Linked DNA regions of Sus scrofa. The protein of the gene in region 1 purifies or fractionates together with the protein of each later gene. This does not show direct contact. Links are inferred from orthologs where the notes say so. Each region holds a gene or a part of one and is shown in the gene's direction. Other genes may lie near its edges.

The links.
Region 2: the proteins of MAD2L1 (region 1) and ANAPC7 purify together in Homo sapiens (affinity purification with mass spectrometry; 3 studies listed by BioGRID and IntAct, with this or other methods). This does not show direct contact. The link is inferred for Sus scrofa from reciprocal best matches to the Homo sapiens genes MAD2L1 and ANAPC7.
Region 3: the proteins of MAD2L1 (region 1) and ANAPC1 purify together in Homo sapiens (affinity purification with mass spectrometry; 3 studies listed by BioGRID and IntAct, with this or other methods). This does not show direct contact. The link is inferred for Sus scrofa from reciprocal best matches to the Homo sapiens genes MAD2L1 and ANAPC1.
Region 4: the proteins of MAD2L1 (region 1) and KIF20A purify together in Homo sapiens (affinity purification with mass spectrometry; 4 studies listed by BioGRID and IntAct, with this or other methods). This does not show direct contact. The link is inferred for Sus scrofa from reciprocal best matches to the Homo sapiens genes MAD2L1 and KIF20A.
Region 5: the proteins of MAD2L1 (region 1) and ANAPC4 purify together in Homo sapiens (affinity purification with western blotting; 14 studies listed by BioGRID and IntAct, with this or other methods). This does not show direct contact. The link is inferred for Sus scrofa from reciprocal best matches to the Homo sapiens genes MAD2L1 and ANAPC4.
Region 6: the proteins of MAD2L1 (region 1) and RNF8 purify together in Homo sapiens (co-immunoprecipitation; 3 studies listed by BioGRID and IntAct, with this or other methods). This does not show direct contact. The link is inferred for Sus scrofa from reciprocal best matches to the Homo sapiens genes MAD2L1 and RNF8.

The regions. Positions count from the first base shown.
Region 1 is NC_010450.4:103,926,018-103,930,157, forward strand, and holds the start of MAD2L1 (mitotic spindle assembly checkpoint protein MAD2A), read left to right. Parts: upstream 1-1,340; 5' UTR 1,341-1,552; coding exon 1,553-1,625; intron 1,626-2,378; coding exon 2,379-2,525; intron 2,526-4,140. UniProt on the Homo sapiens protein: Component of the spindle-assembly checkpoint that prevents the onset of anaphase until all chromosomes are properly aligned at the metaphase plate.
Region 2 is NC_010456.5:31,765,751-31,769,250, reverse strand, and holds part of ANAPC7 (anaphase-promoting complex subunit 7), read left to right. Parts: intron 1-1,277; coding exon 1,278-1,502; intron 1,503-2,729; coding exon 2,730-2,880; intron 2,881-3,500. UniProt on the Homo sapiens protein: Component of the anaphase promoting complex/cyclosome (APC/C), a cell cycle-regulated E3 ubiquitin ligase that controls progression through mitosis and the G1 phase of the cell cycle.
Region 3 is NC_010445.4:44,574,461-44,577,960, forward strand, and holds part of ANAPC1 (anaphase-promoting complex subunit 1), read left to right. Parts: intron 1-1,384; coding exon 1,385-1,461; intron 1,462-1,975; coding exon 1,976-2,066; intron 2,067-2,162; coding exon 2,163-2,216; intron 2,217-3,141; coding exon 3,142-3,335; intron 3,336-3,500. UniProt on the Homo sapiens protein: Component of the anaphase promoting complex/cyclosome (APC/C), a cell cycle-regulated E3 ubiquitin ligase that controls progression through mitosis and the G1 phase of the cell cycle.
Region 4 is NC_010444.4:140,200,902-140,205,115, forward strand, and holds the start of KIF20A (kinesin-like protein KIF20A), read left to right. Parts: upstream 1-1,414; 5' UTR 1,415-1,540; intron 1,541-2,010; 5' UTR 2,011-2,031; coding exon 2,032-2,196; intron 2,197-3,767; coding exon 3,768-3,857; intron 3,858-3,955; coding exon 3,956-4,075; intron 4,076-4,214. UniProt on the Homo sapiens protein: Mitotic kinesin required for chromosome passenger complex (CPC)-mediated cytokinesis. Following phosphorylation by PLK1, involved in recruitment of PLK1 to the central spindle. Interacts with guanosine triphosphate (GTP)-bound forms of RAB6A and RAB6B.
Region 5 is NC_010450.4:19,339,253-19,341,963, forward strand, and holds the end of ANAPC4 (anaphase-promoting complex subunit 4), read left to right. Parts: intron 1-78; coding exon 79-202; intron 203-549; coding exon 550-777; 3' UTR 778-2,211; downstream 2,212-2,711. UniProt on the Homo sapiens protein: Component of the anaphase promoting complex/cyclosome (APC/C), a cell cycle-regulated E3 ubiquitin ligase that controls progression through mitosis and the G1 phase of the cell cycle.
Region 6 is NC_010449.5:32,948,812-32,952,311, forward strand, and holds part of RNF8 (E3 ubiquitin-protein ligase RNF8), read left to right. Parts: coding exon of another isoform or gene 1-8; intron 9-1,725; coding exon 1,726-2,466; intron 2,467-3,500. UniProt on the Homo sapiens protein: E3 ubiquitin-protein ligase that plays a key role in DNA damage signaling via 2 distinct roles: by mediating the 'Lys-63'-linked ubiquitination of histones H2A and H2AX and promoting the recruitment of DNA repair proteins at double-strand breaks (DSBs) sites, and by catalyzing 'Lys-48'-linked ubiquitination to remove target proteins from DNA damage sites.

The DNA.
Region 1 (4,140 bases):
CTGTTTCAGTCTTTAAACTGATCAAGTTTTGATATATAACACTGAATAGGCAGAGTTCTAAGGGCGTCCTCAAAATTTGTGGCCTCCAGGGAGCCTATCCTATAGAATCCCTCCACTTTAGTGTGGCCAGAGTAGTGATTATTAGGAGTTATCACTTTGAGGATTAAGTTCATCAAAGAGGAAATTATCTGACTGGGTCTGACCTAATCACTTGAGCCTTTAAAAGGGACCTCCCAGAAGTCAGAGACTGGAAGCCTGAGATTTATGGAAGGGCTACCTGGCAAAAGCACAAGACTGGCCTCTGCCAACAGCTGGCAAGCCAGTGAGGACATCAGTCCAAGAACAAGGATATTAAGTCTACCAAGAACCAAGGGCCTCAGAAGAGGACCCCTGATTTTAGGTAAGATCCCACTTGCAGACAAATACCCTTATTTCAAACTTGTGAAGACTACAGTAGAGAACTCACCTATGCCACGCCATGCTCCTGACTGAAGGACTGATAATAAATGGGTGTTGTTTTAAGCCACTCATTTGTGGTAATTTATTATGCAGCAATAGAAAACTAATACACTCAGGCATTTTTTCATACAATTAAATAACATTATGTAAGGTGGTTAAGTTTTTCAGATTTCATTTTACATTTTTTCTACCCACTTTAAGAATAAACTTGTTTCAAAACAACTGACATGCACATTAGTTGCGCGCTATCTCTTTAGTACTTCTCATCCTAACAATAAAATTCAAAATTCACGGAAAAGTTCTTCAGTGTTGAAAGGCCTTTTTGGTGAAGTGACCTTACTCCTGACCAGTCGCCGAAGGATGGCGGGGTGCAGAGTGCAAGCTGGACCATCAGAGACAGCCTCAGGCTGCCCCCAGACTGAGCCTAGCAGAGGGTCGGGGTGAGGAGTAGACGTGAGCTTTGCCCAGAACAGACAAGGGAAAGAAGAATGGACGCAGTTCATCCCTTTAATCCCTAAACCAATTTCTCAGGAAAAGCCGCGCGCCCACAAGTAATCAGGGTCTCTAATAAAACTGTGGTGCGCACGCAGTAGCTTTAGAAACTCCCAAAGCATCTGAGGAGTTCCGCCCGCCCACTAAGAATCACTGGGGCTACTTAAGGTACAGCTAGCAGACAGATCGGAGCATTTTCAAAATATCTTTCAAACTCAGGAGTTGTGCTCCTTACCCCTTCTGCCTGAAGACTCAAGGCGCGGCCACTAAAACCGCGATATACCGTCTTTGCCGCAAGCCCCCAGCTAGCCAACCAACTACCGCAGGAGTTCCACAAGGAACCCACCGCGACGCAACGACTCAACAGCGTGAGCACGTCCACCCACTGCGCAGGCGCGAAGAGCGGCTACGCGAGGAAGGAGAAAACAAGCCAGACCCCGTGGTGTAAGGGCGGGGCCTAAAGGCTCGTTGCGCCTGCGCGAAAGAGTCGACGGCGTCCTGCGTCGTTACTTTTGAAACCGGTGGCGGGGAACTACTCTGGAAGTCACTGGTGTGGCTGGTTGCCGCGTGAAAGCGCGTCTCTTCATCCGTGGGCCTGGCCATGGCGCTGCAGCTCTCCCGGGAGCAAGGCATTACCCTGCGCGGGAGCGCCGAAATCGTGGCGGAGTTCTTCTGTAAGTCCTTCTCGCGCAGGCCGGAGAGCGGGGAGAACTGTGCCCAGGCCGCCAAGTAGGCCCGCGGCTCGGTACGGTGGCGGGGAGAACCCATTGGGTCAGAGCGGACGCGAATCCGAGCCCTCTCAGTCTCAGCGTACTGCCAGGCAGGAGGGATCTGGAAGAGGCGGATGCAGGCGCCTCTTCCGGATGCGTTGCTAATGGTGGAGGAGGCGGCCTAGGTTCTGCTGAGGCCTGCCTGGCGATATAACCGCTTAGCCGGGAGCAAACCCCATACCCACCCCGAGGTGAATCAGGATTGACGGTAATGGGCTAGACTTGGGGAGGCGTTCTTCTGGACCAGGCCAGTTGCACCTTCTGATAGAACCTGGCAGGACTTGTGAGAAGAAAAGGAGGAAAAAAAGGAGAGGATTGCCTGGGCGTTGGACGACTCAGTTGCTTCTTTTGACATCCTCTAACCATAAAGTCTGAATTTAGAATTGTTTTACAATGAAATGAAATTTGGCACTGGTAGATAAATGCAGTTTGCCATGTTTCTTTTATTGCCACTTAAATGCAGATACCACTTTTTTGTTTAGAAGCAAAATTTTAAAGCTTTTTAATTTCACTTTGTACCTTTGAGCAAAACACAAACGCGTGTTTAAACATTTACAGCTTTACACCATTAATGAAACCATAGCCACATGACTAAATATGTTTTATTTCTCAGAATTACAAAATGAAAATGACTTTTAACATTTCTTTTGTTTTCAGCGTTTGGCATCAACAGCATTTTATATCAGCGTGGCATATATCCATCTGAAACCTTTACTCGAGTACAGAAATACGGACTTACCTTGCTTGTAACTACTGATCCTGAGCTCATAAAATACCTAAATAATGTGGTGGAACAACTAAAAGGTATTTCATTGTTGGAAACAGTTTTGAGTTTTGCCAGCATTCTAGGATCCATTTTCTAGCAGCTTGCTGGTCATTTTTCATCTGTATACCTGGTGGTGTAAAACACACTACCATCTCAAATATAGTGAAATAACTGGGAGGAAGAAAATAAATCAAAAAGAAGTCCCATCTTTACCCCATTTTGAGTGGGCTGAATATTTTCATGTTAGGAACGCGATACGGCTTAATGAAACAATTCCCATCAACTCCTTTAGAAATGAGTGTTGCAGTTTATGTGACCAAATGGAACATGTTGGAATTTTACATAATTATATTGGTGTTCATTATCTGAGAAAAATCCACTATATATATATTTGTAGCTGCATGGAGTCTAAAGCCATCATTAAGATGAAGGAAGCAAAACTGAATTCAACCTGGGGACTAAACTTTAAAAAGAACAACTACCAAATAACAGAGCACCATTAGAATTTTCTTACTTTTCACCTGTTTCCATTGTCTTGTCTTAAATCCTACATGTGAGTCTGAATACTTATTTTTTCCTTTTAGCTCAAGAAGTGTCAGTATTGTTTAATTAATACTTGTTCTCCATCTATTCCTCTTCTTTCTTCTAAAATTTCTAGTTTCTCTTTCATGTTTGTCTCCACCTAGGGTTCTCATTTCTAATTTTTCTGTGTTGTAGGATATTTTTCCATATCCACACATTGATCTTCCAAAGTTCTAAAAAACACTACAGCCCTCATCTTTATTTATTTTTTTTTTAAGTTTTTACTGAGGTATAGTTGATTTACAATGTTGTAATAATTTCTGCTGTACAACACAGTGATTCAGTTATACATGTATACACATGCATTCTTCTTCAGATTTCTTTCCCATGTAGCCCATCACAGACTGTTTGGTGGAGTTCCCTGTACTATACAGCAGGTCCCTATTGGGCAAGCATTCCATATACCTCAGTGTGCATATGCCAATCCCAAATCAATCCCCCACCCCATCCCTCTTCCCCCACTTCTCCCCTTTGGTTACCATAAGTTTTTCAAAGTCTCTGTTCTGCAAATAACTTCATTTGTATTTTTTTTTTTTTTTTAAGATTCCACATTAAGTGCTATCATGTTTGTCTTTCACTAACTTCACTTAGTATGATAATCTCTAGGTCCATCCATGTTGCTGCAAATGGCATTATTTCATTCTTTTTTATGGCTGAGTAATATTCCATTGTATATATGTACCACATCTTCTTTATCCATTCCTCTGTCAGTGGACATTTATGTTGCTTCCATGTTTTTAATTTTAAATGAATCTTTTTTGTTTCAAGCAGCTTGATTTTTTTAACTCAATGAATTTTATTACATTTATAGTTGTACAACAATCATCACAACCCAATTTTACAGCATTTCCATCCCAAACCCCCAGCCCATCCCCCAACCCCCAACGTGTCTTCTTGGAAACCGTAAGTTTTTGAAAGTCTGAGTCAGTATCTCTTCCGCAAAGAAGTTCACTGTATCCTTTTTTTAGATTCCCCATATAAGTGATAGCATATGACATTGGTGTCTCACTGTCTTACAAACTTCACCTAGTATGATAGTTTCTAGGTCCATCCATGTTGCTGCAAATGCCA
Region 2 (3,500 bases), on another chromosome or scaffold:
GTCCTCTGGTGCTTCTTGCAGCCTCCAGCAGAGCTTCCTTTACTGGTGGGAGCTCTGGATTAGCGAAGTATGGTTTTAACATTTCCCTTTGAACTTCCAGTGTGGCTTTAGCAGGAAAGGAAAGCTATTCAGTGAGAAGTTGCAAACAGCCATATTCCGAATCCAACATGTTGCCCTTAAGAGGTAATTTCTTGTTAAGTAACTGTAGTGTATGATAGAGTGTGCACAAACATTATAAATGCCGCTAGGGTGGAGGAATATGCAGAGAAAATCTGCCGGGGAGGAGTTCCCATCGTGGTGCAGTGGAAACTAATCCGATGAGGTTGTGGGTTCGATCTCTGGCCTCGCTCAGTGGGTTAAGGATCCAGCGTTGCTGTGAGCTCTGATGTAGGTCGCAGACACGGCTTGGATCCTGCGTTGCTGTGGCGTAGGCCACAGCTGTAGCTCCCATTAGACCCCTAGCCTAGGAACCTCCGTATGCTGCAGGTGTGGCCCTAAAAAAACAGACCAGGAAAAAAAAAATCTGCCACTGTGTGAGTTTGGAGTTTAAGCTGTTTTTCTGTGAGTACTTTGTCCCAGAAAGTATTTCCTCTGTTCTTCATTTCTTGGCATGAAGAGTTGAGAGTTGACCTCTACTTGAAGTGTCCCCTTGGAGCATCTTGCTTTGGTTATGGAAAGAGGCAGGAGCTGCCGATCTTGGTGTATTTTGGTCCGTCTAATTAAGCCCTTTCCATCTAGTTTAAGGAAGCTCTCAGCAAATGCCTTTTGAGATAACTTTTATGTTTCCAGTGAAACACAAAAAGTCTTCCTTTCTCTGTAGGTTGCTCCCTGGGTACTTAAGGAGCCCTCCCCCTTAAATGTAGGGCTAAAAGTGACTGAGCTCACCTGGAAATTAACAGCTTGTTAGGAGGCAGCAAAACCTTGGGTTTTGCTAGAAACCTCATCTTACACAGTTTCAATTAATGAGTAGTGTCACATTTATTACTCTTTCAGCTGTGCTGCCAACATGCTTTGGTTTATTTTATGCATGTTTGTTTCCTTCGCTAACTGAAGGTGCCTTTACACGGCAGGCTTTTTCCACATCCATCAAGTCCTCTGGGAAAGAGCACTTCTTAGCTCTTCTATCAGCATACCCTCTGGTCTAATCTCACCATTAGAGATTTCTCCTGGCCTGCTTTTTGTTTGAAACTATGAAAGTTTGCAATTTGAAAGGCTGTCAGGGTGGAATCGTGTCTTGGAATGGTAATGTGGTTGAAATTTCTGTTATATTTTTTCAGGTCTCATCGAATGTTACTTAGCCTCCAACAGTATTCGAGAAGCAATGGTAATGGCTAACAATGTTTACAAAACTCTAGGAGCAAATGCACAGACCCTTACCCTTTTAGCCACCGTTTGTCTTGAAGACCCAGTGACACAGGAGAAAGCCAAAACTTTATTAGATAAAGCCCTGACCCAAAGACCGGATTACATTAAGGCTGTGGTGAAAAAAGCAGAACTACTTAGTAAGTGTATCTTGTTTACTTCCCTGTAACTCATTAATTGTGTAAAACCTGATTTCAGTTGGGATTCCCTAGTCCCAGCTGGTTACAGATGATCAAACAGGTACTGCTTTTGCAGTAGGTCTGGGCCCCTGTGCATTGGTTTATATTTAGCTTAGACCTTGAATTGGCAGGGACTGACTTTTGTGGAGTGGCTCAAACCAGCTATACTTTGGCTAGTACCTGTTCACCTCACTTTGTCCTCAACTAATTTGGGCCAAATATAACTGGTCATAGCCAGTTTGAACTATTTTGACCTATTTTGGTTCCCTTATAATTTCCCTTTTAGCCTTGGTTTTCTAAGTCCTGATTTATGATGAACTGAGTTTGGGCTAGTTTGGCTAATAAAATACATTTTGACTCTTTCTTTGAACTTTGTTAAGGATAAATTTTTAAAAATCAGAACTCTGGAGTTCCTGTCATAGCACAGTGGTAATGAACGTAATATCCATGAGGCCTTGGCTTCATTCCCCAGCCTTGATCAGTGGGTTAAGGATCCGGGATTGTTGTGAGTCTGTGTGTAGGTCACAGATGCAGCTCAGATCCCTCTTTGCTGTGGCTGTGGTGTAGGCTGGCAGCTACAGCTTCTATTCAGCCCCTAGCGTGGCAACTTCTATATACCGTGGGTACAGCCCTAAAAAGACTGACTAAATAAATAAATAATAAATAAATAAAAATCAGAACTCAAACTGCACATTTCCTAATGGATTAGGTATTCAAATGTGCTCATTCTCACTCCCTGCCACGCTACTGTTCTCTTGACATCTATAAATAGGGATCTCAGATCTGTCACAATCTGATGTCAGAATTTCATTATTGTTGTGGTGGGTTTTTTTTTTTTTTTTTTTTTTTTTTGTCTTTTTGCCTTTTCTTGAGCCACTCCTGCGGCATATGGAGGTTCCCAGGCTAGGGGGCTAATCGGAGCTGTAGCCACTGGCCTATGCCAGAGCCATAGCAACATGGGATCCGAGCCGCGTCTGCGACCTACACCACAGCTCACGACAACACCAGATCCTTAACACACTGAGGGAGGCCAGGGATTGAACCTGCAACCTCATGGTTCCTAGTCAGATTCGTTAACCACTGAGCCACAATGGGAACTCCTGTTGTGGTTTTACATATATGACTTGCAATGGGAATATATTTCGAAACATTGTGTAAGTAGGAAAATAAGGGTCTTTTTCTTTTCAGGCAGAGAACAGAAATATGAAGATGGAATTGCTTTGTTGAGGAATGCACTAGCTAATCAGAGTGACTGTGTCCTGCATCGGATCCTAGGAGATTTCCTTGTAGCTGTCAATGAGTATCAGGAAGCAATGGACCAGTATAGTATAGCACTAAGGTAGGCACTTAGCCTCCCCGGGGGGAAGGTTGATGAGGGGTAGAGGAGGCAGGGAACAATGTAACAGGAGTTCTGCAAATACACTTTGTATCCACAGTTGAAAACAGAGTAATAATAGTATGGTAGAAGAGTTGTTTGTGAATTTATGACTTCTGAAAATTTTTTCTTAAGGTATACTAACAACATTAAAGAACTATTTCACTCATAACCAGCCACACCACTATAACATCTGTTTTCATTTGTGTAGATCATCTTCCTGGCCTTGCCAACGCATATACATATTTTTATAGGGTTATATGTAGTATATATTTTATATTCTGCTTTTTCAAATCAAAGTATTGTGAGTACTTTCCCATGTTTCTACCTACTGTAGTAGTTAAGAACTTAAGCTCTGAAGAATACTACCTTTACTATCTGTTATCTTGGACAAGTTACTAACAAATTTCCTTGTCTATATCTACCTTATTAGGTATTAAATAAGGATTAAATGATTATTCCATGTAAAGCTCTTAGCAAGCACTGTGCCTGGTACATAGTAAATACTAAATAAATAGTGGTATTCTTACTGCTTAATACAGAAGTGATTTCTTTGAGGGTTGTCTGTGTGTCTATAAAGTTAT
Region 3 (3,500 bases), on another chromosome or scaffold:
TGATTTGATGATTTGCAGTACATAAGAAGATTTTATCATAAGCATCTTCTGAATACTTATTGGTTTATTATAGAAAGCATCCTGATGCTTTCTGAACAGTCTTCTAAAAAGAATTATAGGAATAGGAGTTCCTCTTGTGGCTCAGTGGGTCGGGAACCTGACATAGTGTCCATAAGGATGCGGGTTTGATCCCTGGCCTCCCTCAGTGGGCGAAGGATCTGGTGTTGCTGCAAGCTGTCGTGTGGGTCACGCATATGGCTTGGATCCCACATTGCAATGGGTGTGGCATGGGCTAGCAGCTGTAGCTCTGGTTGGAACACTAACCTGGGAGCTCCCAGGTGCTGCAGGTGTGGCTGTTTAAAAAAAAAAGAAAATATAGGAATAAATATTAAAAGTTTTACTTCTGTGTACTTATATGCATACGTTTAGAAAATATATACCTTTATCTTTTTTGGGGGGGAGGGGTTCTGTAACTGCAGCATATGGAAGTTCCCAGGGGTCAAATCAGAGCTTCAGCTGCTGGCCTATGCCACAGCCATAGCCACGTGGGATCCAAGCTGCATCTTGGACTTCCACCCCCGCTCGCAGCAACGCCATATCTGTAACACACTGAGCAAGGCCAGGGAGCGAACCCGCGTCCTCATGGATCCTAGTCGGGTTCGTTACCACTGAGTCACGATGGGAACTCCACCTTTTTTTTAATTTGTATTTTTTAAGTGAAGTGAATCAAGTAAGTTCTTGTTTGTTAAAGCTAGATAATCTGTGTTTTTTAAAAAACATTCTTATTCACTACCTATGCTGAAAGGGAAGTGTTTGTAAACCCTAGTTATAGATTAACGTAGATGGTTTAGTTTAGCTTGGGTAGTGAATCTAGTAACAAACTTCACCTTTGGTAGGTAGGTAGGCTTAATACTAGAAGCCTACCTTCTAGTAGCCACATCTGCAACCTACACCACAGCTCACGGCAATGGCCATATCCTTAACCCTCTGAGCGAGGCCAGTGATCAAACCCACAACCTCATGGTTGCTAGTCAGATTCGTTTCTGTGGCACCACGACGGGAACTCCTGTGGTCATCATCTTTTTATTTTAGTTGACTGGTGTGAAATATTATTACTCTGTTATTGATTCAGAATGTACTAAAGTCCGCCAGTTTATATTCATTTATATTCATTTAGTCCTGTTATTTGGCCCATCTTAGATTTGAAATTGGATTTCATTCAATGAGAAATGTGATTGCATTCAATATAGGCCTCTGAATGAAATGGTTTGATAAAGCTTATTTTATGTAAATAAAGCCATAATAAGCAGTATGTATTCTTCAAATTATTAAATACCTGTAACTTGAATTTAATGTCCACATGTTCTTGTTTTTATCTTGACAGATTATAAGAGAAAATAGTATCTCTCTCAGTGAAATTGAGTTGCCTTGCTCAGAGGATTTGAATTTGGAAACTTTGTCGTAAGTCATGAATTGTATAATACAGACTAGCTACTCTAGCACCTGTCAGATAAATGAATTGAAATATACTGTATAGGAGTAATACTGTTTTGGTTTGAGTGATTCTGAATCTGCCACGTTTCTAACCATTGTTTATCTGATGTTCACAAGTTTGATTTTTTAGCTTTCTAAAGTGTAGAGTTTATATCCTCAAAAAACAATGCTGGAGATTTTAATTTGTGTTAAATTGCTCTTTTATCCTTCCTGTTTAAAAAAAATGGCAGTGATTGTTAGAAATTATATTTTGCTGCATATGAAACAGTGCAGGCAAGAGGCACACTCTCACAGCCAAATAGATGATGCTTCTGCTGAAGAACAGTAGACAGAAATGTGTTGATTGAGCAGAGGCACAATTGAGCGTTCCCAGAAGGATAGAGAACAGGAATATTTATTATTTTTACCCCCAAATAATAGTAATAATAAATTTTAAAGCAAAACAGGGACAATATTTAAATTTCTTGTGGTCTGTTTCCAGGCAAGCGCATGTCTACATAATTGCAGGAGCTTGTTTGTCTCTGGGTTTTCGATTCGCTGGCTCAGAAAACTTATCGGCATTTAACTGTTTGGTAAGAAATATCTTCATTTACTCTGTTCTATTTTATTTTTTACAGAGCCTTAGTATGCTTCTTTTAACCTTAAATTTTTTTCTTTTGTTTTTCCAGCATAAATTTGCAAAAGATTTTATGACTTATTTGTCTGCACCTAATGCTTCTGTAGTAAGTCTTTTTATGATGATTCTCCTTGGGAATAAAATTAAACTTGAAGAAAACTCACTGATAATTCAATCACTTCTGTGTTGCCTTACTCCATTCTCAGTACTGAATGCTGGTAATTGCTTTTTGAAAAGATTAGTTCTTAGTCAAAATGCAATTGCTTTTGAGGATTACTGCTCTGATGATAGTAAGACTGCAGATTTATTTCCTGGCCCCAAAAAAAAAAAACCCAACCCCACACAGATTTAGTCAACATTATTTATAATATTAGAAAATTGGAAACATAAAAAGTCCTAAAGGTAATCAAAAAATGAACTATGGTATATTTACATTGTTGTATAGAGGAGCTATATCAAAATCAGGTTCTGTAAGAATTTTTTGAGTGGAGATTGCTTATAATAGATTCGAAAGCTTAAAAATATTGTAGTAATATCTGTTTCATTAAAAAAAGAAAAAAGATATTGGAAAAGATATGGAGAAAAAAGAAAGCCAGATGTGTATAGCTGTTAGTATTCCAAGTGATTCTTATTTCCTTTTTGATGCTTTCTCTTCTGAATTTTTGACACTGAACTTAAATTCCATCATCTGGGAAAATATTTGTTTTTTCAGGTTTTTAAAAGTTGTAAACATTTGTAGTCTAATGATGGCCGATTGAGTTTTGATAAAAGAAAATGCAGGGCTTCCCCCTGGGGCGCAATGGGATCAGAAGCATCTCTGCAGTGCTGGACCGCAGGTTTGATCCCTAGCCTGGCACGGTGGGTTAACCATCCGGTCGGTATTAGACTGCAGCTGCAGCTCGGATCTGATCTCTGGCCTGGGACCTCACTATGCCTAGTGGTGGCCAAAAAAATTAAAAAAAAAAAAAAAAAAAAAGAAAGAAAGAAAATGTTGCACCAGGGTTGTAGTATGTTACCTTTCTCGTCTCTAGACAGGTCCTTACAATCTGGAGACTTGCCTCAGTGCGGTGCTGCTGTCTCTGGCCATGGTGATGGCTGGCTCGGGGAACTTGAAGGTTTTGCAGCTTTGTCGCTTCTTGCACATGAAAACAGGTGGTGAAATGAACTATGGTTTCCATTTAGCCCATCACATGGCCCTTGGACTTCTGTTTTTGGGAGGAGGAAGGTAAATGAATGTGTGTGTGTGTGTGTGTGTGTGTGTGTGTGTGTGTGTGTGTGTATTTTTTTTTCCCCTCTCAGTGAAAAGGATCTCATGAGCAAGATGTCTAAGAGCGACTTATGCTGCAGGTGCAGCCAAAAATAAAACTGAAGAAGTTGTTTCCAGTTTTAA
Region 4 (4,214 bases), on another chromosome or scaffold:
ATGACTGAAGACGCTAAACACAGCTTCTCTCGGATGGACCATGGCTCTGTAGGGCCAGTACTCAGCAGCTTATGTTCTGAAAGTAGAGAAGACTTATAGAAAACCACTGAGACACTAGTTCTAAGCCTCAAAGAGAAGACTAAAAGCCTAAACATCCCAACCTATAAGGACAACGTGAGCTACTATCACCAAATCTTGATTCTTCACCTTTCTAGTAAATAACCTAACTAAAACAGTGTGCCTATGGTATTTGAAGAAATAAAATGTTTTGCCTTCAAATGCCATGGGCACAATGGTTTAGTTTAAAAAAAAAAAAAGTAATGTCAGATTAAGATAGGGCAGCTCCCCGAAAGACTCAATTTTAAAAAACGCTTTATTCCAATTTGGACCTAAGGGCTTATTTCCCAGGATTCCGAGCGGCCACCTCCCCTCCGTCCCGCCTCCTTCTTAGCATAAAGTTGTTTACTTCTTTCAGTAACACCGCTCCCCTTTCCCCTGGCCGGGCCTAAAAGCCATATTCAGTCCGTGAAACAGAGATAAATGACTGAGATGCCCGAAATGTGATTTCCCCAGTGGCAGAAAAAGCTCGCGGTTAAAACTCCCCATTTCTCTGTGACTAGTGGCCTCATAAACGTTCGTCAGAAACTGAATGACTCTTTGGGATGCCGGCCACTCCTTAAGGCGCACAACGTCTCGGTCCGTCTGTAGGGCACCTTTTCAGCTCACCCCGCAGAGCTCCCCAACATACAAAGATTTCGCTGAGCTGCTTATCTCAAACCTCGGCGGCCTTACTGAGAAGACTACACTTCTAGGCCCCCGGCCGTTGGGCTTCACTACACCGTCGAGTTCAAGTCTCGTGCCCTCCCTGGGCTCTCAGGCAAATCACTGCTCCTACTCTCTATGCTGTTGCCTGGCCTCGGCTCTACAAAGACTTACCACACAAAGGCGGTGCAAATACTTACTGCCCGTCCCTGCCGCCATTTTGGCTCGGAAGTCTCCAACTCCTGAGGGAAGAGCGTCAGCGTCCGCTACGCCTTAAAAAAAGAAAGTATAAGAAAAAGAACTCTGGGAAATAGAGTCCCGGTGTTTGGTTGCGGTGCTTCCTGGGAAATGTAGTCCCCCACCCCACCCCAGGAAGAACAAGTGCCCTAAACCGGGTCTCTTGTGCGTTCCTGGGAAGGAATGTGATAAAGAACAAAACACGGCAGCTGATGCCTCAGGGTTCAAGAAAAAGTAATAAGGCGGAATTGCAGGATCACCCAACACCAAGCCTCGACAGTTGGTAACCCGGACCCACTTTTGAGCAGAGCGGTCAGGCCGGAATAAGCCGTTTCCCAGTCTCGTCTGTCCCCTTGCGCTGATTGGTAGGTTCAGGTTTCGCTATCTGATTGGCTCAACGAACGCAGCGCGTAATTTAAAACATTGTATCAGTAACAAAGGTGAGCCTCGTGGGCGGGGTTGTGCTGTCTAGCTGCGAAGGTTCAGGTTCCGTCGCGGGGTGTGAGTGAGCCGGTACCGGAGGAGACGTGCGGTGTCTTCGGTGAGTATGAGGCTCTACTGGAGCCCAGCTGCGGTACCTGCTCTTGCCCTCGCGAATTAGGCTTTCAGAAAGAAGAACTGCCGCCATCCTTTTTTTTTTTTTTTTTTTTTTTAATACCTCTGTCCTCACTGTGGGCCTGGGGGAGAGACTGAAGGAGCCCAGGGCTACTGACACCACCTCCACGACACCGGAGAGCAAGACACCGTACTTGGAGTGTGGCCTTCTGCTTTTGGAGCTGGGTGTCTGCTCATTCCTGTTCGCGGTCGGAAATGCCGCCTCAGACTGGATTAAATGATTAACTCTCTCTCTCATTTCCTTTCTCTTTGCTAGTAGTTGAAGGGAAAGAGGAGCAGGAATTCAGCCAGTGAGACCAAGTTGTCTTGGGGCCTAGGAATTGGTTCTTACTCAGAATTTGCAGCCCTTTTTATCCCATAAGGTTCTCCTCCCTACCCACTTTTGTCTCTCTTTAGATCTAGGCTTCCCCTGCTAACATGTCGCAAGGGATCCTCTCTCCACCAGCCGGCTTGTTGTCGGATGAGGAAGTCGTAGTCTCCCCCATGTTTGAGTCCACTGCTGCAGATTTGGGGTCTGTGGTGCGCAAGGAACTGCTGTCAGACTGCTCTGTCATCTCCACCTCCCTGGACGACAAGCAGCAGGTAAAGGAGTTGAATTGGCTTGGGGGCAGAAAGTCATATCCTCAGCATACTAGTTATCCCTACAAAGTAGCAGGAGGTCAAAACCCTGCATTCTTAGGGTTTGAGAGATCAACTGAAAATTAAGGACAAGACAAGTAAAAAATGTACAATTGTGTGTCTCTAAGAAATCTATTAACTGCATTGCCGTAATGAAACATTCTCAAATGCATACTCAGTTAATCCTATGAGAGAAGGCAGTAGTTAGATCTCCTTCACCATGAAGTCCAGACATATTCAGGCTTTAATATGAACCCATAGCTTGCACTTAAAAGGGGGCTTGCTTTCTGCTGAGATGTCTCAGCTGCAGCATTCTTGATGCCTGGGGCCAGATGATTCTTTGTTATAGGGGGCAGTTCTGTGCAGTGTAAAATGTTAAGCGGCATTCTTGGTCTCTACCCACTAGATGTCAGTAGCTCCTTCCCAGGACATCCAGGAAATTTGTTCTGGCATTACTAAATGTCATGGTTAAGAACAGCTCTACTCAGACATCTCTTGTAGAAGTTTTATGAGAGCAGGGCCTTTGTTAATGTCCTTCACTGTGAACTACTGGATCCTATAAGATTTCCTGCACCGGAGTAGAGAGATCTCTGATCTCTAAATATCTGTTGAATGAACTTGGTGGGTGCTATTATTAACCCCATTCTACAGATGAGGGAACTGAGGTAAAGAAAACTTAAAGAACTTGTTCAAGATCTCAGGAGTTCCCGCTGTGGCACAACAGGATCAATGGTGTCTTTGCAGTGGCAGCAATTCAGGTTTGGTCCCCGCCCCGGCACAGACACAGTGGGTGAAGGATCCAGCCATGCTGCAGCTGTGGCATAGGTTGCAACTCCAGCTCTGATTGGATCCCTGGCCCAGGAATCCAATGGGTGGCCGAAAAAAAAAGATCTCATGGTTTCTTAATGATGGAATTGGGACTGAAATTCAGGTGTGTCTGCCTCTAAGGTGCTTAACTACTATGTTTTGCCATAATATCACACACTAATTTTCATGCCATTCAGAAAGTTCTAACCCAGATAATCTGTGGTAAGCCAGGCTTTCAGGATTCTAAAACGACAAGAAAGATGATTAAGTAGTGAAAAAGTCCATGTGGGTTGGAGTGATTATGGAACCTGAGTAGCTGCACACAGTCATTAGAGGTGGAATATGGTAGTGTTAACATGATTTCCAGGAACTATTTTATTTTACTTCTATTATTTTTTTGTCTTTTGTCTTTCCAGGGCCACACCTGCAGCATATAGAGGTTCCCAGGCTAGGGGTCCAATTGGAGCTGCAGCTGCCGGCCTACACCACAGCCACAGCAATGTGGGATCCGAGCTATGTCTTTGACCTACACCACAGCTCATGGCAACACCAGATCCTTAACCCACTTAGCGAGGCCAGGGATTGAACCCTCATCCTCCTGGATACTAGTCAGGTTCATCAACCACTGAGCCACAACGGGAACTCCAGAAACTATTTTATATTTGCCCATCTGCTCAGAAGTAACTGCTGAGATTAATCTGTGGTTCTGGCCTGGAATTCTGTCACAGGTTCCATCTGAAGGAAGCATGGAGAAAGTCAAAGTATACCTGAGGGTCAGGCCCTTTTTACCTTCAGAGTTAGAACGACAGGAGGATCAGGTGAGTTTCTGAGGAGGGAGGATTAAAAGTGGAATGCTGCAATACAGTAGAGGCTCCCAGGAATGTTTTCCTTCGGTGACAGTTTTCCCTCTTCTTAGGGTTGTGTCCGTATTGAGAATATGGAGACCCTTGCTCTACAGGCACCCAAGGACTCTTTTGCCCAGAAGAGCAACGAGAGAGGGATTGGACAAGCAACACACAGATTCACCTTTTCCCAGGTATAGAGATACTGATATGTGAACAGGGCACCACCATGTAGAGGCAACTTTATTCCCTCTTTAGAGGGTAAAGCTTTCTTCTTAACTGTGAGTTTCTTATATATACATGTCTACAGCTTGGGGACCTTTGTAATGTGTT
Region 5 (2,711 bases), about 85 Mb from region 1:
TCAAACCCTGATACCCCCTCTGGTAAACCAGGGGGAAGAGCCCCATTTCACTCTGGGGCTGGTTTCTTCCCTGTCTAGGCTGGATGAGCAGCGGAGTGCTATTCCCACCCGGACCATGCATTTCGAGAAGCACTGGAGGTTACTGGAAAGTATGAAAGCCCAGTACGTTGCTGGGAATGGTTTTCGAAAAGTGTCCTGTGTGGTGAGTGTTTAACAAAGGAAGGGACTTGGGACTGTGGAGGCTTCTCAGTGCAAACATTTTGCGATGTAAAGCTTTTGATTATGAGCCCATAGTGGCCTTAGCTGTTCAGTTCTCTTGTTCTGAGAAAGCTCACTAAGTAACTAACACATTGAGATTTTAATTATCATGAAATTTTCACTGTATGTGGAGATCCTTTTATATGAAATGAAAGCTGGGTTAGTGATTTTGTTGTAAATTGATGGGAAAATAACTTTCCCACAAAACCGCTCTTTATTCAGATTTCTGATTATATATAATGTATTAGTTAAGCCATTAAATTTTCTTTCTTAATTTGGCCTTTTCTTTAGTTAAGCTCAAATCTCCGTCATGTGAGAGTGTTTGAAATGGACATAGATGATGAATGGGAGCTGGATGAGTCTTCAGACGAAGAGGAGGAGGCCAGTAACAAGCCCATAAAAATAAAGGAAGAAGTGTTATCTGAGTCGGAAGCAGAGAACCAGCAGGCCAGTGCTGCTGCTTTAGCTTCAGAGACGGTCATTAAAGTAGAAAAACTTGACCCTGAGCTAGACTCCTGATGTTCAGAAAGGACATAGACGATGGACCAAGATGACCACTACTTAACTTTTTTGTGTGAAATAAAAACAGTAAATTTTTATTTTACTTTTATTCTGCTTCATCTTCTCTTAGTGATGTACCACCATGATAAGACTTTCTTTTTGCTGAGACTTCTTCTTAATGTTGTGTGCAGAACTAGTGTCTGTCACAGGACCTGTGACAGAAGCACATTAATATTTCGATAATATTAGAGCAGAAAATCACATTTGAACTCGTAGGAATACTTGGATCAGAAATTCTCAGTCGTTGAAGGGTTAGTGCTAAGAATGAATCGTGTATGTGGTGGGCAATCAGTGTGTTTCACGTTTTGAGTGAACTTGGGCAGGATTTCCCATGAAGCACATACACCACCACATCAAAATCACCTGGGCCAGAGATTAAAAATGCAAATACATGGGTGTTACCACAGGCCCATTTAGAATGTGATGACTGGGCCCAGGCCTGCTTTTTTTTCTTTTTTTTTTTTAGAGTGGCACCTATGGGATATGGAGGTTCCCAGGCTAGGAGTCGAATCGGAGCTATAGCCGCTGGCCTACACTACAGCCACAGCAACACAGGATCCGAGCCGCATCCACAACCTACATCACAGCTCATGGCAATGCCAGATCCTTAAGCCACTGAGCGAGGCTAGGGATCGAACCTGAGTCCTCATGGATGCTTGTCAGATTCGTTTCTGCTGAGCCACAATAGCAACTCCCAGGCCTGGAGTATTATTATTATTTTTAATAAACTCACCTGATCTTGTGCCCACCAAGGTTGAGAACCATTATTTTCCGCAGAAGCTATTTTTAGTAATTAGGTATTCATTATTTTTTAGTTGTAAGTCTGCTCCCTTAGATGCATTGAAAATTGATAGATTTTTTTCTTTAAAAATAACCCTAGTAGGAGTTCTCTTGTGGCACAGTGGGTTAAGGCCTTGTCACTGCAGCAGTTCTGGTCACTGATGTGGCACTCGATCCCTAGCCCGGGAACTTACACACGCCTCCAATGCAGAAACAAACAAAAACCTAACTGGTGGTGAATTTCACCTGCAAGGTGCCCACACGTCCATAAATCTGCTTCGATGATTGATGGTGGGCCTAATGGTGCCCCAACTCTTTGTGCACTGAGGGTGTAGGCCACCTTTCAGCCCTAGGAAGGTCATGTTCAGTGGGCGATGCTGAGTTGGGTCTGTGTGGGCCTCGTGTTTTGGTACATAGTCCATTTCCAGTCATAAATGTCCCCTTTCTCCAGGTGTGTGCAGTCAGACGGAACTCAAAGTGCCCCTAGACATGTAGTGTGCTGTGTGGTTACTGCTGTACTGACAGTAAAACTGTCCCATGTGTGACTAAATGACACCGTGTGTACCAGCCTGATGGATGTTTTAAGTAATAAAATTAGGAGATACATTTGTAGCTCCTGCCTCCTGCCTCCAGCTTCCAGTTTCTCCTATCCCCAACCAGACTGAATTCCTGATTCCTGTTGCAGAGGGAACGTTATTATTTTAAAATATATTTTCCCACTCTTCAGATGGTAACACCGGCTATTTAGGAGCCCAGCTAGATGGGTGGCTGGTTGCTATAAACTACACCACGTGTGATTGTCAACATTTTAAGTGATGCTGCAAAACTTTCTAACATAACATCTCGCCCTTTTTCCTTTCCAACACTTTTGTCCTGCCCAATTGTTGCAGGAAGACATGTGAAAGATTTAAAATTAAAACAAAAAAGTTCGGTCTGCTCTCTTGAGATGTCACGTCTGGGGCCATTGTGCTGGCTGCCGTTTCCTCCCTGCTGGACAGAGTGGCCCACGTGGCCGGGGAGACCCTGTGACTGGTTTAATGGAAGCCCAGTCAGGGGGCAGTTACCCAGGTCAGATGCTGCCAAGCAGTGGGGAAGGGAGTGGTGAGAATTGG
Region 6 (3,500 bases), on another chromosome or scaffold:
GTTGGCAGGTAAGCCAGGTTAGGTCCAAAGCAGGGAGTTAAAGCCAGTCTTTCTGTGTATTTCTATGCTTGTCTTTCTCTCCCTCTCCTCACTTGAGCCAAATAGCATAGAACCAGAAACAAGGGCCTAATACCAAACCAGAGCTGAGATGGCATCTCTTACTCCCCTGTACCTCTGTGCCTTGTAGTCCAGCTCCCTGTCCTTCATATTTGGGTTAACTGTTAACTGTTTTGTCTAGGTTAGAGTAGATGGCTCTTGTTACTGACATAAACATATTAGCCCTTCGTCCCAGTCAGATGTGACCTCACCTCTGGCCTGTCCCCCCACATTAAGTCCTTGATATGGGTTAAAACACCCACTTGTCTCTTTAGACTTTAAATCCTGCCTTTCTTTCAAGTCTGTTTTAGGACCTGTGTCCCCATTGAGCATCTCTTCGCTCACCCTGCTCTACATGATATTCCTTTGCATTTATGGGCTGTGCTGTGTAATCCCACATTTGCTTAAATAAGCCCTTGTGTTTTCCCTTCCACAGTCAGCTGCTCAAAGTTGTTTTCATATCTTTTGCTTTTGTGCTCAGTATATTTACCTTGCAAGATGCTGAGCATGGAATTGAAGTGATTGTTGATAAATCAGTTGAACCAGAACACAGTAAGAGAAGCAAACACTTAGATAATGCTTACCATGTGCCGGGTACTTTTCTAAGTACATTGCATATGTTATCTCATTAAATCCACACAAACACCATGAAGAAGAGACTATTATATCTTCCATTTTATAGATGTGGAAACTGGCGCCTAGAGAGGTTAAGAAACTTGCCCAAATCATGCAGCAGTTAAGTGATGGAGCAGATTACACACCCAGACAGTCCTGTCCTGGGGTCCATGCTCTTAACTCCTACACTGCTTTTTAATTTAAACCACAGAAGTCCATATGGAGTATTCATTACATGTGAGTCACTCTGCTAAGTGTTTTATATGTATTAGCTCTGTCATTCCTCACAGGAGAAGTATGAGGCAGAAACTGTATACTATCCCCATTTTACGGACAAAACTGAGGTACAGAGAGATTAAGGAAATTGTCCAGGCCCATGCGACTAAGCCCAAGGTGGTGCATTTGGGCTGGAAACCCAAATTTGTCTGAGTCCAGGTCTTAACCACTATGCCCATAGATCTATTAATTGGATCATATCCCCTGTGCAATTTGACCCCAGCACAAGGTACTGGTGCTTTCTTTTTTGGTGTGTATATCCTGGGAAGGGTTTTCTCATTCACCAATGTATTCAGGGGCCGCATCCAGAGAGAGTACTTGCATGACTTTCTTGGCCAAGTGTACCTTTGGAACCTCATTGTTAGACACTGCTTCCATCACTAATAGCAGCTTTTCCAGTCTTGGGCCATTGCCTCTAGTTTAGGCCAATAGGAGCTATTCAGTTTTGCTTTCTTTTAATCCGGCTGCATTTGTTTGAATAATTTATCCACCAGTAACAAGGAGATCCCTGCCTATTAGACAGGCAGTTGTCTGGAGGTGTGAACATCACAGAGGTAAAAAGCCAGAGCGCTATTTAAAAAATGCTGTTTGTAAGGATGGCGGTTTATGAACCTTTGTTTCTATTTGTTCTTAAGGGGTTTCCTTGAAAAGACAGAAGGTTTTGCAGCAGCAAGAGAGAAATTCTATTAGAGGAGGAAAATCATGAAGCTTATGTTATCTTTTTTTCCCTTTCCCCAGAGTCTGAATGGTGTTTGGCTGAACAGAGAACGTCTAGAACCTTTAAAGGTCTATTCTATCCATGAGGGAGACCACATCCAGCTTGGGGTGCCTCTGGAAAATAAGGAGAATGCGGAGTATGAATATGAAGTTACCGAAGACGACTGGGAGAGGGTTTATCCTTGTCTGTCCCTAAAGAGTGACCAAATGATGGAAAAGAATAAGGGCTTGAGAACTAAAAGGAAGTTTAATTTGGATGAGTTAGAGGGTTCTGGAGCTGAAGGCCCCTCAACTTTGAAATCCAAAATAAGTAAAGTGTCTTGTGAACCTGGTCAACCAGTGAAGTCACATGAGAAAGGTAAAGTGGCTGGTCAGCTCAATGAATATTTGGATCCTAAGTTGACTTGTCTTCAGCCAAGTGGGAAGGCCCTGGGGGCTCATGTTTATCCAGTCCCTGCAAAAGTCGTAGAGCTTCAGCACAGGAAGCAGAAAGCCTCAAACCCTTCAGCATCTCAGAGCAGCTTAGAGCTGTTTAAGGTCACCATGTCCAGGATTCTAAAGCTGAAAACACAGATGCAGGAAAAACAGATCGCTGTTCTGAATGTGAAAAAACAAACCCAAAAGGGAAACTCAAAGAAAATTGTGAAAATGGAGCAGGAACTGCACGATTTACAGTCCCAGCTGTGTGCAGAGCAGGCCCAGCAGCAGGCCAGAGTGGAGCAGCTGGAGAAGACTTTCCAGGAAGAGCAGCAGCACCTGCAGGTACCACACAGCAGGGAAGGACAGAGGGCCCTTTGGGGGTGGGCAGGCCTCTGTGAGCTTCTGGCCAGAGTTCTCTGTTTCTGCATCGGGGACCAATTGCTGAGTGCCAGGGACAGGAGATGTAATGGGAAGAGAAAATGTTGAAGTTCAGCACGATGATCCGATCAAGAGCCAGATGGGGTAAGATGACTGGGTTCCAGGGTGGGGTAAGGTGACCGGCAGAGCCAGCCAGGATGTAACAGGATGTAAACCTGAGGCATCTCAGAACTGAGGTAAATTCTGAGCAAGGTTGGATGAAAGTCAGTCTGCCCCAGACTACAGCACACCCAGGTCAAAGCAGTAGTTGTCTTTGTGGGTGGTCTTGCTCTGCTCTGTGGTCAGAGCAAATCCCTGCACCCAAGGCTGGTTACTCTGTCCTTGATTTCCCTTGCAGTCTAGGTGGTGGGAGGCTAGAAAGGCAGAAAATGTTTGTTTCTGTCCCGAGTAGCCAGCATAGGAGGGGACGGACGGGTACACTGGGACTCGGTTGTTGAGTGATAAGCCACCTTCCATAGGGCCTTTGGTAGATAAAGTAATGACTATCTTAGTTGTGTCAAAGTGAGAGCAATTGTGTCCACACCCCCAGTTCATCTGTTTAGATGACAGGCTCTTGCACAGAGCTTCTAGACTAAGGCTGATCCTGGTCCCTGCTCCAAATGTCAGTTCCCATCTGGCAAAATCCACACGTTTTACTCCCACCGACTTGCTCAGGTAATACTAAATGTCAAGAATTCCCCATTGTTGACTTAGAACTAAGAAGGGCCAATCAGGATTGAAGTGAATAAGCCTTTATCTTTTGTTTACCTTGCTCAGGGTAAGAAACAACCAGTTGTGTTGGCTTATTTCTGAAGAATTTATAGATTTCATTCTAATCTCTGCTATCCCCTTGAACTGGTGATCTTAGCAAAGACCATGAATTAAATGGATCTAAGGGTATACAGTTTTTGCTTACATGTCCCTTTTTGCTGCCCCTATCCAGCCTGGACTAGTTCTTG